Linked DNA regions of Oryctolagus cuniculus. The protein of the gene in region 2 binds, or shares a complex with, the protein of the main gene of each other region. Links are inferred from orthologs where the notes say so. Each region holds a gene or a part of one and is shown on either strand. Other genes may lie near its edges.

Region 1 (6,806 bases), on a different chromosome or scaffold from region 2:
TTCCTGCTCACGGCCACCCAATGCCCTTGGCAGAGTCGCCTGAGCCCACGTCCTGGAGGGAGGGCCCCAGCGGGCACAGCACACTGCCGCCGTCCCCCCAGGATCCCCAGTGCAGCGCGTCTTCAGAGCTATCTGGTCCCTCCACGCCCCTGCATACCAGCAGCCCGGTGCAGGGCAAGGAGAGGTAGGCAGCGGGGGCCGGGGCTGCCCAGACAGGCTTGGAGGGCGCTCAGCTCACCGGCTGCCTTTCTCCCCACAGCACCCGGCGACAGGACGCCAGGTCCCCCACCTCGGCACCCGCGCAGAGACTGAGTCCTGGCGAGCCCCCCGTTTCCCAGGGAGGTGCTGACAAGGCTGCTGAGATGCCAGCGAGAAGTGGGCCTGAGCCTCTGGCCCCAAGCCCCTTCACAGCGGCCTCCCCGCCCAGCTCACCCAGCAACTGGCCTCAGGAGAGGAGCCCAGGGAGCCATGCGGCCGGTGCCAGTCCTCGGGGCCCTGTGCCCACTACGCTGCCCGGCCTCCGCCACGCCACCTGGCAGGGCCCTCGAGGTCCCCCAGACAGCCCAGATGGGTCCCCCCTCACCCCTGTGCCTACCCAGATGCCCTGGCTTGTGGCCAGCCCAGAGCCACCCCAGAGCTCACCCACGCCTGCCTTCCCCCTGGCTGCATCCTATGACACCAGCAGCTCCACCCAGCCCCCGCTTCCTGAGAAACGCCATGTGCCAGGGCCTGGGCAGCAGCCAGGACCCTGGGGCCTAGAGCAGGCGTCGCCGCCAGCCAGGGGCACCAGTCACCATGTCACTTTCGCACCCCTGCTCCCGGACAGTGCCCCTCAACCCCCAGGTACCAAGGCCTCCAGAGGGTGGGGCCTCCTCCAGAACTTTCCCCCAGAGAAGGGAGCCCTGGGGTCTAACTCCAGTGCCTCCCTGGTCTAGAGCCACCAATGCAGGAGAGCCAAAGCAACGTCAAGTTCGTCCAGGACACATCCAAGTTCTGGTACAAGCCACACCTGTCCCGTGACCAAGGTGAGCCGCCAGCCTGCCCCTCCCACCCCACCGCCGGGGTTTCTGTCTTGGGTTCTCAGAACCATTCTAGCTGGCCATGCCTGGGCTCCTGCTCCTGGCTCCAGAGCCGGTGATTCTGGGATTTGGACCCAAGGAAGTTAAGACTCAACATCATCCAAAACCCTGCAAACACTCTCAAGTTCCATCCCCAGACTCCCGGCAGCCCACTGGGCTGCAGTCCGGGCAAGATAGGCCTGGGTGCCCGCCCGCTAGCAGAGGAGTTTGGCGGCCGGCGCAGGGCTGAGCCAGCCGCTGTGGAAACCCAGCCCTGCCTCTCCTCCTGCCTGCAGCCATCGCCCTGCTAAAGGACAAGGACCCTGGGGCCTTCCTGATCAGGGACAGTCATTCATTCCAAGGAGCTTACGGGCTGGCCCTTAAGGTGGCCACCCCCCCACCCAGCGCTCAGCCCTGGAAAGGTACACAAGCCCGAAGCTGGGGGGGGGGGGGCTTGGGGGGAGGGGCTGTGCCCGAGGCAAGGCAATGGCGGGGAGTGGTGGGTGGACAGGAAGATGGGGCTGTGCTGCTCAGGAGAAGTGGGGGATGCTGAATGTGTGGCTACAGCCTCACTTTCCTCTCGTCTCTCCTCCCAGGGGACCCCTTGGAACAGCTGGTCCGCCATTTCCTCATCGAGACTGGGCCCAAAGGGGTGAAGATCAAGGGCTGTCCCACTGAGCCCTACTTCGGTGAGATGCAGGGGCCAGGGCTGGCTTAGGGAGGCCAAGGGCTGGCAAGAGGGTGCCGGGCCCTTGGGGACTCTTCTCGCCTCCTGCCCACAGGCAGCCTCTCCGCCCTGGTCTCCCAGCACTCCATCTCCCCCATCTCCCTGCCCTGCTGCCTGCGCATCCCCAGCAAAGGTGGGTGTCTGCGGACCCCCTCCCCGGTGCCCCCCACCCTGAAGCCTCCCCTGGGGAAGCTGCTAGAGCCCTCTGTTCCCGGGGAACACGTTTGCCTGCTCACCTCCCCTGTTGGCCCTCGTTTCCTCCCAGATCCTCTAGAAGAGACCCCAGAGGTCCCAGTGCCCACCAACATGAGCACGGCGGCAGACCTCCTGCGTCAGGGCGCAGGTAGAGACCCCCGTTCCCTCCCCCTGAGCACCGCTGGGCTGCTGCAGGTACAGGGCCTGGTAGGCTTTGAGGCAGATGAGCTGTGGCAGGTGCACTTCACCCGTGAAGGGGGCCTGGGTCAAGGCTCTCCAGTCTCAGGGGAGACCAAGGGGAGGGGCCTGGTTAGCATACAGAACCCCAGGCCGCTTTTCAGCATTTCTGACCTGTACATCTGAGGGTTTCATGCAATCGTTCTGACAAGTCGCCTAAGTGATCACAATGCGACCTGACAGCACTAGCTGGGGAGAATGCCAGGGCTGGCTGGGGGCTGGCAGCGTCAGCGCTCCCTCCCTGACACAGCCTGTGCCCCTGCAGCCTGCAGCGTGCTCTACCTGACCTCGGTGGGCACCGAGTCACTGACGGGCCCCCAAGCTGTGGCCCGGGCCAGCTCGGCAGCTCTGAGCTGCAGCCCACGCCCAACGCCAGCCGTGGTCCACTTCAAGGTTTCAGCCCAGGGCATCACACTGACGGACAACCAGAGGAAGTGAGTCCATGTGCCCGTGCCCCTGGGGGCTCTGGGGGCCCTGGCGTCCCTGTGTGACTAGCGCCCCTCCCCCTTGCAGGCTCTTCTTTCGCCGCCATTACCCGGTGAATAGCATCACGTTCTCCAGCACTGACCCTCAGGACCGGAGGTGACCCTCGCTCCACACCCAACCCCCCACTGCCTTGTGCTCCCACAGGCCCCACCCCCAGCTCCCCCTCCCGCTGCTCCTTCATGGTTCTCCTCCTTTGCAGATGGACCAACCCCGACGGGACCACCTCCAAGTAAGCCTTCCTTGGGCGCCGTCCCCTCCTTCCCAAGGCTGGCAGTGGAGCCAGACGACCCCACCCCTACCCCCGCCAGCTACATTCCCTCATGGAGGGCAAGCTGATGCCCCTCCCACCATGGCTTCGCCCCCTCCCCCACCAGGATCTTTGGTTTTGTGGCCAAGAAGCCAGGAAGCCCCTGGGAGAATGTGTGTCACGTCTTCGCAGAGCTGGACCCAGACCAGCCCGCAGGCGCCATCGTCACCTTCATCACCAAAGTTCTACTGGGCCAGAGGAAGTGAAGAAGGCCACGCGTGCCCCGCCCACGTGCACACTGCGCCCTCCCAGCATCCTGCAGCCCTCACTTCCCCCGGCCTGGACCAGGGGGCCCAGGAACCAGCACCCTCCCCTGGGAACCGGGAGTGGGCCTTCACCTGGGACCCTGCTCTCCCCCTCCCCCCAGCCTGCTAAGCTAAGTGGATGGGCCCACGAGATGACCTTGCACGTGAGCAGATGGCAGAGACGGGCGTGTGACGGGGAGCAGGACAGCCCCGGCTGCAGGAGGACACCAGCCCCGGAGGGGACTCGGGCCCTGCCGGCTCCACCCAGCTGCAGGGCCCAGCGCGGCAGGGAGAGGGTGGAGTGTGGGGGCAAGTCATTCCCCGCTCTGCCCCCTCTGAGCAGACACCACAGTGGGATCACAGGAACGGGGAAAAAGAGAGTCTATTTTTGTCTAAGAATACAGAATTTCTATATACTTTGGTTGGAGCTGGAGTCGTGCCTTATTCCCAGGGTCTCTCAGGGACATGCCTGTGCGTCCACGGCCAGTCCCAGCAACATCCTCCTACAGGCTCCTTAGCCCTGGCTACCACGGGTTCCCGTCCGCCCTGCGGACACACTGCCCCAGCTGCCCCTCCCTCCAGCCATTCTAGGCCTGCACACTGTGAAGGACGACTATGGAAACTCCATCTTTACTGGCTGTGTAAACATCTCTGGTCTGTACATACATTTCACACATCATAGTGCAGGGCCTGAAACCAGGGCCAAGGGGGCAGCTCCCCCACCACCCCACAGCCCGACCCACTCTGTGCAAACCGAGGCCCGAGGCTCCCAAGGCCCTCCTCCAGGGAGAAGTCACGTTACAGGGAGGGGCCCAGGGGGCAGAAGGAGCTCTGAGGCTGGGGGACACAAGTGAGTGCTAGAATCAAACACTGAAGCAGACAGGCAACTGGCACAAGCAGCAAGCGGGCATGGGGACAGAGCCGGGTGCGGATGGGGCTGAGGGGCCCTAGGGTCTCCTCCTGACCCCGCGGAGAGATGAGCCCAGAGCCTCAGGCACCATCCAGGGAGCTGGGGCCGAGGGTGCCCCGGGTGAGGAGAAGATGTTGAGGGCCCCCTGGCCCCTCCCTCTGAGATGTGGGATGGGTGACCATCTGTGTGTATGCAGGTGGGGGGGCAGAGACTCGGGCTCTGTGCGGGCCCACGGTGCCTGAACGGGAAGAGGAAGGGAGAGAAAGCCAGCTCTCTGGGGGAAAGAACGGAGGAGACCCAAGGGGAGTCTCAGGGCAGTAGCCAATGAAAGGAGCAAGGTGGCCCAAGAGGCCCCCCCCCAGCCCAGCCAGGGGGGTGACAGCAGCAGCTGGTCCACATGATGAGGACAGAAAACAGAACAGAGAATTCTTCGAGAAACACCATGGCGAGTCGGGGGCGGGGCTTCTGCTCCACCCGCTGCAAAGTGCCACGCCCACATAGCAGCTGAGACTGGGCACCCGCCCGCTCATTCCCATGGGGCCAGTGAGGGAAAGGGGACCCAAGCAGGTGGGACCCCTCCTACAGCAACACCATTCTTTGGGCCCATTCCTGGCCAACCAGGGACTCAGGACAGGGACTGACAATAAGGGAGGCACCAGGTCAGAAACGTGGGCAGAGGAGCTGGACAGGGGCCTGCACTGGTAAGGGCAGACAGACCCTGCAGCGGCCCGGGGCCTGGTGGGCGAGCAAACCCTTAGGTGCCCGGCCCCGCAGAGTGAGTAGAGGGAGAGGGCCTAGCCGCTCAAGGGGTGCAGGTCTACCTTGACCTTCTCCCCACAGCTTAGCATCCCAATTGTGGGGAAGAAGCCTCCCGACGGCACCACAGCATCCTTCTTGCCAATGATCTTGCCATTCCGGGTGAAGAAGACCTGGGGGTGGAGGTGGGGGAAGAATGGAGGAGGCGGGCTATGGCCTCTTCTGGTGTTGGAGCTACACAGTCCTGAGCTCCAACCACTTCCTACAACCCAGCACGGCCTTGCCGAGGCACAGAGGGTAGTAAGAGCAGAGGCCACAAGAGGGCGTCCAGGGCTGGAAAACCTCGGCCCCCCCACCTCAGCAGATGGAGCACGCAGACCCTCCTTCTCCCACCCTGCCCAGCCCCGCGCCACAGCCTCCCCCACTCACCACCACCTTCTTGCCCTCATGCTCTTGCTCTATCTCTTCCCCATCGTCTTCCTCTTCCTCTTCCTCCTCTTCCTCCTCCCCTTCCTGGTGCAGGTACATGACGTTCCGGACGTTCCGGACAGCCCGGGCAGTTGGAGACAGAATCACTGTGTCACAGCTGTCATCACTGTCCCCTGGGAAACCAGGAAACCTCAGCTCCCGTTCATGCTGGGCAGCCACTGGCAGCCACTGGCCACCCCGCCCCGCCGCACCCCACTGACCTTCACTGTCCAGGATGTAGTCCCGGGGGAACATGATGCCACAGCCCATGATGTCCCCCTTGTAACAGCGTGGCCCGAAGGGGTCCCCCATGCCACTGCCATGGAAGATCTTCCCGTCATCTGTCACAGGGAGAGGACAAGACCTGTGCTTGAGGGAGCCCAGAGCCACCCCGACTGGCAGCGGTCACCTCCCCACCCACGGTGCGGGCTCAGTGGAAGGGAGCACCCAACAGGAAACGAGGATGGAGACAGACGTGGGGAGGGGGCGCCCAGTGACAAGAGCAGGGACACGAGGTCCCTCAGCACAAGGGGAAACCTGCTGGGGAGCTGCTGGCAGAGAGGGGAGGGAGAGGCGGAAGCCCTGAAGGCACCCAACAGGCCAAAAAGGAGAAAGAAAAGGAAACCAGGACCCTGCAGATCTGCAGGAGGGGCCCAGGGGGGCCTGAAATGTCCAGCTCGGCCCAATCTCCCACCACGATCTGCTACCCCGGCTTTCCGGGCTGGGAGAGGAAACACAGATGAGGAGAAAGCACTGGCAGCCAGGGCCAGGCCACTGGGAGCCCCTCCAGTCCACTCCCTCAGCTGCATGTCCTCCACTCACCTGCATGATAAGCCACAGAGCCTCGGCTCCAGCCGGGGTGCCTGTTCTTGGGGTAGTCCTGCAGTGAGCAGAGAGGAGGAAACCCATGGAATCACGCACAACAAAGGACAGGACAGGGCGGCAGCCGGATCACCCATGTTTTTGGAATAGACGCCCACCCAGACAGCTGCTCCCCGGCCCCCAGCCTCTCGCATCCTGGGGAGGTAAGGAGAGGGCTCGGGGCGCCCACCCTGAGCCAGGCCTCTGTGCACGTGGTGATGCTCTCTCAGATCCTCGCTCACGTGGGCTCTAGTCTGACACAGCAGATGCACATAGCCATGTTCTGTCTCAGCCTAAGGTCCCCCCGGACTCCCCCAGAGCTTCTTGGGCCTGTGCCAATAGCCCCACGTGCCCAGTCACCCAGCACTTGTGCCCACCTTCCGGGCCAGCCCCAAGGCGATGTAGCATTTCTCTCCAGGGTCCACGATCTCCACCTCAAAGTAGTGGCTGCGGGTGCTCAGGGGGTGCCGGGCCTGGGCCAGCCCCACATCCACGATGCTCTTGCCCTTCCCCAAGTACTCCAGCAGCTGTGGGGAAAGAGCCGGGTGGGGTCAGG
Region 2 (7,452 bases):
GATTTATGCTAAATCTGCTACCCAAATATCCTAGAAATTCTAGTCCCTGGTCATTTGGTTTGAATTCCTGGCTTCCTTATTGTCGTGTCTTTCTCACTTAGTTCATTTAGTCTTTCATTCTCTCATTTGAATGGAATTATGTTTCCAATAACTTTGAGAGTCAGAAAAACAAAATTGCATATATACTTACATGTAATTATTGTACATACACACATGACTTTAAATTTTTATTAATACAAAGAAAACAGATTTTACGCATTCCATAGTTACAGTTCCAAGAAAACAACCATATTTCCCTTACAACCCTGCTTCACCTCAATTTCGCTCCCTCCCCCTCCTCTATTCATCAGTTTTTGCTAGGATATAATTTTAATCCCCTCTTATTCACAGGCTTAATTTGCTACTAATCATAATAATCCATGAGTAACAAGTAGGGAGATCACAGTTCCACAGGAGTGTAGACAAGGCCTAAAAACAGCAATTATATCACAAAGTGTCCATTTCATTCCCATACATTTTTTATTCTATATTAACTGCCACATATAAGAGAAAGCATGTGATATTTGTCTTTTTGGGACTGGCTTATTTAAGCATAATAGTTTCCAGATGTATCCATTTTGTGCAAAAGACAGGACTTCATTATTTTTTATGGCTGAGTAGTATTCCACAGTGTATGTATCCCACATTTTCTTTATCCAGTTATCAGTTGATGGACATTGCAGCTGATTCTGTATCTTAGCTATTGATATTATTTTAAGTTAGACATAATTTCCCATAAGAACTTTGAGGCATTTTTGATCAACATCTTACTTCCACTGTCACTGTGAAGTAATGTGATGCCATTCTGTTTGACAATTCCTCCTTTTTTTCCTCTGGTAACATTCAGGATCATTTCCTTGCCTCTTAAGTTCTGAAACTTGATAATGGTGTTGCTTGATGTGATCTATTTTTCTTTCTTGTACTACTACATACTCCATAGGTTCTTTTTCATTAAAAAATCTGGGTCATTCAATCCTGGGACATTTTCTGAAATTTATTTTCTTTGAAAGTTCCTCTCAATTTTCTCTGAAATGTTCTTGAAAAGTGTGTTTCCCCTCCAAAATAGTTAATAAGTTTTCAAGTTGTAAGTAATTCTCTTGAGTTTATTATTGCCTCTGCTATCTTTCCCAAAGAAGTGATTCCAGAATATTAAGAGTCTAAAGCCAGAAATAAAGAAAAACTACTTCCATCTCACAGGGAACTCTACCTCAAATCCCATTTAACTTGCATGTTGCTGATGCAGGATATTTAACACAGAAACCCTAATTCAGGGATTTCCACCTCTGGGATGCTCTGATTGATGTGTATACCAGTTCCCAAACCACTCACTGATAGGCTGGGAGGGAAGAGAGGGAAACCAAGAAGGAGGGAGAGAGGAAGGGAGGAAGGGAGGGAAGGAGGGAAGGAGAGAAGGAGGGAAGGAAGGGTGGAAGGAAAGGTAGAAGGAAGGGAGGGAAAAAAACTGATGATCCCCTCCTTGGTGTACATTTCACAAATATTTTCCAGAATCTCTGCATACTAAGAAGTGCATACAATCTGTTGTAACATTAATACAGTGGTGTTGAATACCTGCATTTAGAAATGAAAAATCACCGTGGAAAGTCACTTCATAAAATCAATACCCTGGGATGACCTATACTTTTCCAGATCTTCCATGAAAATCCTCAGCAGCTGAGCTCATTCAGAATGAAACTGCATGAAAAGGATTACAAAAGAAATTTAACAGAAATTTGCAAAACAAGTACTCAGGAGTTTGAAATGTAATTTTAAATAAAGCAGCCTGGAGGAATACTCATAGCGAGAGTCGGGTCTTTTATAAAAACTCTTCTATCTTACATGACATATTCTAACCAATTCAGATGAATTAGAATATTGGGCCAGTATGCAATTGAGAATAATCTAATGCTTCTATGGATTAATATTCTGTTCAGCCTTTAAATCATGGAAGTATAAATCTTACCAATTGAAATTTAAATAAAAAGTATAGTTGAAAATCTTGTGGAGGTGAATTTTTGAAAAATATATTTATTAGACCGCAGGATATGGAATGGGGTCTCAAAATTAATGATGAGTGATGTCCGTAATGATAATTAGAAAATTTTGTGTCTTAAAAATAAAGACAGCATACATTCACAGGAATGATTTGGAAATGTCTGAAGAACTTACATCAGAAAATGAGGATAGAAAGAGTAATGATGTGTTGAATCTAATTTACAATCTCTCTTTTCAGTTAGGTCATCTCAGAGCTTGTTGAACTATCTTCTTTTGGTGTGATGGGAATAATTATCTACTTGTTAAAAATGAGTGAAATAAGTTAATTAATACTAGCATGGCTCTTAAGGGAAAAACTTTTGTGGAATCTGTCCCAAGGAGTTAATAAAACTATATTTCTCCTTAGTAAAAGAAATGAAGCCAGAATTCAGGCTCAACTTAAACATAAATGTGGCTTAGGAATGACAGAGTAATACCACTTGGCATTTCTTAAGTTAGCCTGCTTTTTCTACACTGGATAAAAATAAAGAAAAGAAAGCATCTAAAACAGAACCGCCCTATTACAACCCAAATTTGCCCATGAAAGCAGAAATTTTCTGGCCTGAATCAATGCGTTTTTTCCCTTTTCCGTAGCCTCCCACACTATAATGACTTATGCATGGAATTCAGAGACTTTATATTTTCTTTTGAGTGCAAAGTGAATGCCAACATGGAAAATGTGAATGCTGACCATTTTCAAAGATGGCCACAGGCCTTTGAAGGAACCAAATAGTATCCAGAAAGATCTTTGGTCAGGATATGGCACCAAAATTCTAGTACCTTCCTTAACTTCAACCAGTCTTTACAGGGTGGGAATATTCACCTTTTAGATATATGCTTAGTCAGAATAGCTTGAAATTGGGGGGGGGGGGGCAGAGTCCTTTCTATAAACTGAAGTGACCCAAAACCAGCACAGCAATTAATCTTGTTTATGGCTAGTCAGTAATCCAGCCCCTGTTATGTGCTGACAGTTCTGCATGGAGTAAAAAATTAAAAATGTCTGCTCTTGAATGGCATTTTTCTTCTAAAGTCCAGTAACTTAGTTTCATTGTGGAACAACTTTTGGGTTAGTCAGTTTTATAAGCTGAATTTACATTGGTACAATTTAACTAAGGGTTTGAACGATTAAAGGCAAAAAGAGACGGATACCTGGAATGCATTTCTATTCTGAGCTTATCTTATGCATGACTCTGATGTTTACTTAAATTTTTATAGCTGAATTCTAACAGAAAGATACAAACTAAACTCCTTAAATGCCAAAGAGAATGATACTCAAATTTCCAGAATAGTCCCAATTGTCTTATTAAGCTCACATCTTCTTTGTGGTTTCCTAGCATTCCTGTGTGAGGGGTTTAGAGTTTACACATACTAAAGATATGTAAAGGCAAAGGATGAAGGAATAACCTCATCTGTCCATGGAGATATAAAAGTGTTTTCGCTGCCGGGGCCTGAGACAGAATAAGAGCCTAGTTTGAATCTGAGCTTTCTAAATGTATGATATTGAGCAAGTCATTTAATTTCTCTAACTTCAACAATACTAGCTTGCTGTCTAGCGGAGGCAATACTAGGATGTGTAAATAGATGTATTTCTCCTAAAGCATTGTAAATGGTGTGTGTGATACTTTCTTATTCATAAATTATGTGTTAAGATGAACTGAACTGAATTATTCCATGTTTCTTAATCACTCCCTGGAGTAAATACATCCTGGTCATTTGAGATTGATATTAGTCCTTTCACACACTAATACATTACATATGCTGTCACTGTGGCTCAAGTTATGCATGAGCAGCTCCCTGGTGGCCTTCAGTGCAATTCAAACCAAATAGCAAATCGATTTCTTAAACAACTTGTATTCACAAAAGTGAATCAGGAAAACATGCAAGCTACAGCAATAAATTTCTTCCAGTAATTTTTGTTAAGTATTGAATCTAAATATCTTCTTAATGGCATTTTAAATTTGACCAAAATTATTAAATGTAAATTTTTCTCTTAATACTAGGCTGCTTCTTTAAAAATAGTACTATTAAAGGTATTCAACAGAGGCTTTGTAACTTCTCTTACCTCTACTTTCATAGTGCAGATTAAGTACTGTCTTTTCAAAGATGTGTTTGGACTTTAGAAATGTATTTCTAACTATATATTTTTAAAATTTTTAATAGGTGATGAAATGACAAAACTCACTCTCTACTTCGATCCATGAATTTGAAACAATCTTTCACCAAGTTCAGTCTCTTTTAGGCTCATATGGAATGTATCTCTCTGTCTGATGTTAAACTATGATGACATGTCTGTAGCTATCAGAAAAAGAAGCTGGGAAGAACATGTGACCCAATGGATGGGACAGCCTCTGAATTCTGATGATTGTAACACAACATGTCATCATGGACTAGTAGCTGATAGATTGCAGGCAAGTATGGAAAAAGATGCAACTCTAAATGTGGACCTCAAAGAGAAGTGTGTTTCACTACCGGACTGCTGTCATGGTTCAGAGCTGAGAGATTTTCCTGGGAGACCAATGGGTCACGTTTCAAAGGAGGTGGGTGAAAATGACAGCCCCGAAGGAGAAGATCCATTTCTCTCTCTGGAGGCCAGCACAGAAACATTAGTGCATGTTTCTGATGAGGACACCAATTCTGATCTATCACTGACCGATGATAAGATTTTAACTACCCAAGGGCATAAAACATCAGACCAACATAGCATTGAAGGAGCAGGCTCCTTGGTAAAGACATTGCCTATCATGGAAAATAACCAAGATTTTTATACTTCCTGGAGAATGGCTGGCAAAGCTGATTTAGCACTGGTAGAAGAAAGTGGAGAGAGGAAAGTTGTTGACATTATAAGTAAAAGCCTGGAGCTTTGTAATGATATAAGCTTACATGAAATTCAAGATGCACCCAAAGTAAATACATTAGATTCTTTGAATGTGAAAGTTATTGTGCCTGAGAAGCAACTGCTTAATTCTGCTGTAATTGCTCAGCAACGAAGAAAACCTGATTTCCCTAAAGATGAAAATGAAAGAAACACCTGCAATGTAGGTCACAATGAGTTCTTGGCTATTCCTTGCACAGACAGAGAGCCTCCATTATCAAAAGCAGATTTTGGAAGCTGCCTTCTACAGCCTCCTTTCTGCGCCAGTGGAATGTCAACTGAAAATGGCCTGGAAAAGAGTGGTTTCTCAGAATATCAAAACAGAAGTCCTCCAAAGGTCAACGCAGAAGATGGCATGCAGTGTTTACACTTACAGGAGCCTCTGGCCACCCAGGAACCCACAGATAGCCAAGTCAGACTTCGCAAGAGAAAGGTAAGCTGCATGCAGATTATCTGCCTTCTGAAATTGTGGACCTATCCTTGTTGTCATCACTTACTCTTTTACTTGGATTAAAGTGATATGTAGAGGTTTCTTTTGCCCTGTAACATGACTGCATAATTCACAAATTATCTGTTTGATGAAACCATCAAAATATGTAAAAATTAAAATATGATAATTGATCCACTATACCAATAACATTTATAATGGTTTTCAAACATTGTATTGTGGAATTGTGTTGAAGAAAGAAGGTTGATATCATTCTCACTGAAACTGAATAGTCACCACTCATTCATAATTCTGTAGTTCAAGACTATCTGAAGAATGATAGCTAATTTTGAAAAAGAAAGTTGTTTAGGGCCTATTCCTTTTTCCTCCAAAAAGTAAATTTTATCCTAATAAATGTGGTATAAATCACATGTTAAAAATAACCCCTTTATGTACATGAAGACAACAGTACTCCCTCTCCCAAAATGTGCTGATGTCATTTTAATGATACCTTGGCAGTTCATTGTCCACAGTATATCATGGTCTCCATTCCTTGCCACAACTTTTCTTTAACTCTTGACCCAAAAAATGCCTATAACTGAAGTTATTTTTCTATGTCAAGGTCCCTTTGACAAATTCTGGAGATGCCATCATCCCCTAAGAAATTCCCAAGTGACAGAAGCAAGGGCTAGAATGAGGTTACATGAATCATGGCTTGACTAGCAAACTCCTGGCCAAAACTTGTCTTATCTTTATGATTTTCCCCAAATTCTTCCAACATTATAGTGCTCTATAATTCTGATATAAATCCAAGCACAATTTCTTCTCCTATAAATCCCATATAGCCATTGGCATTGAAGAAGCCCTGCAGATTGTACATTTTTATGCAACAATTAAAACACTTCCTTGAGCTTCTCTTGATATAATGTTAGTGCATAATTGCAATTCTTTCAACAAAGCTAATGTTGTTAATTTTCTTCCACTGGGGCTATCTATCTACAATAAAAGAAGTCCTGGACTCTCTTTGTGTTGAAGAAATCTGGTTTCCATAAACTGGTTTTGATTACAAACTAGATCAGTAACATGACATGAAGTTAGTATAAGTGAAGTCAAGGACTTAGGGCAAAATTCAGTGTACTCAGACTGTATGCCGTACAAGCATTTCACACTTCTGGAAAACTCTCCCTTCCTTGCATGAATTGTATAAAAACATTAATACTCCATAAAGTTGTTATGATTAAAATGTTCAGGTCATTAATTTCCTAAAATTTCCATGTATCCTATCAAATCTGTTGGAGAGAATGCAATAATGACATAAGAAAGCATTAACTGACCTATGACATGGCTTCCCTAAAGTAAGACAAATTTTTCCCAACTGCCGACAGAAACATTAAACATTCCCAAAACATATGCTCACCACTTGGACATTTATATCAATACTAAGAATGCTGGAAAGAATTTGCTCTTGGACATGTCACTTTAGCATGGTTGCATTTTGAGAGCTATAATTATAGCTCATTTACAAGTTCTAACTTAAATAATTCTATTTTAAGCATTTCATCATGCTAAAATGTTGTGGCATTGTCTGGTGGAATATTTACTTTGATTCTACAACCCATTTAGGATGCCTTGTAATGAATAAAAATGCAAATTTTAAGATCAAATTTTACTGTGGAAAAGTATAGTTATGAGAGAAGCGCCTAGAATTAAGATGTGTAGAATTTTTTGTTTTTGTTTTTTTTTGGGGTGTTGAATGAGTGTTAAAATATCTTTAAGTTGGCTATTAGCCATTTAAGAACTTTACCAAGAGATATAATAGAACATATATATATATATATAAAGATATATACAAAGATGTTCATCATTGTATCATGTTACTGCAAAGGAGGAGACAGCCTATTTCCATCTGAAAAGAATGTATTTAGTTATGGATCCATTTGTGAATAGCTATGCCGTCTTTGACAAGATGGAATGGGATCCATGTACACTAGCTGTAAAAAATATGCATGATGCAGTGTATATGGGGGAAAAACAGTAACAGACCAATATGCATAGCACACTCAAGCCTCACATGACAAAGTGT

Evidence for each region. The genes of interacting proteins can lie anywhere in the genome.
Region 1: the proteins of DLC1 (region 2) and TNS2 are in contact, whole or in part, in an NMR structure (PDB 2LOZ), measured with the Homo sapiens proteins. The link is inferred for Oryctolagus cuniculus from reciprocal best matches to the Homo sapiens genes DLC1 and TNS2. Residues at the interface, in NP_001335010.1 of Homo sapiens: Glu811, Asp812, His813, Lys814, Pro815, Gly816, Thr817, Phe818, Pro819, Ala821, Leu822, Thr823, Asn824; in NP_736610.2 of Homo sapiens: Asp1268, Leu1269, Leu1270, Arg1271, Gln1272, Gly1273, Ala1274, Ala1275, Cys1276, Lys1317, Ser1319, Ala1320, Gln1321, Thr1324, Leu1387, Asp1388, Pro1389, Asp1390, Gln1391, Val1403, Leu1404, Leu1405, Gly1406.

The regions. Positions count from the first base shown.
Region 1 is NC_091442.1:56,122,613-56,129,418, forward strand, and holds the end of TNS2 (tensin-2), read left to right. Parts: intron 1-33; coding exon 34-184; intron 185-259; coding exon 260-843; intron 844-935; coding exon 936-1,025; intron 1,026-1,354; coding exon 1,355-1,480; intron 1,481-1,654; coding exon 1,655-1,747; intron 1,748-1,840; coding exon 1,841-1,918; intron 1,919-2,050; coding exon 2,051-2,128; intron 2,129-2,482; coding exon 2,483-2,651; intron 2,652-2,730; coding exon 2,731-2,799; intron 2,800-2,902; coding exon 2,903-2,932; intron 2,933-3,077; coding exon 3,078-3,216; 3' UTR 3,217-3,676; downstream 3,677-6,806. Other genes in the region: SPRYD3 (SPRY domain-containing protein 3), read right to left, coding at 4,203-4,403, 4,987-5,094, 5,351-5,523, 5,611-5,730, 6,212-6,269, 6,628-6,777. UniProt on the Homo sapiens protein: Tyrosine-protein phosphatase which regulates cell motility, proliferation and muscle-response to insulin. Phosphatase activity is mediated by binding to phosphatidylinositol-3,4,5-triphosphate (PtdIns(3,4,5)P3) via the SH2 domain.
Region 2 is NC_091433.1:77,298,333-77,305,784, forward strand, and holds part of DLC1 (rho GTPase-activating protein 7), read left to right. Parts: intron 1-4,230; 5' UTR 4,231-4,337; coding exon 4,338-5,375; intron 5,376-7,452. UniProt on the Homo sapiens protein: Functions as a GTPase-activating protein for the small GTPases RHOA, RHOB, RHOC and CDC42, terminating their downstream signaling.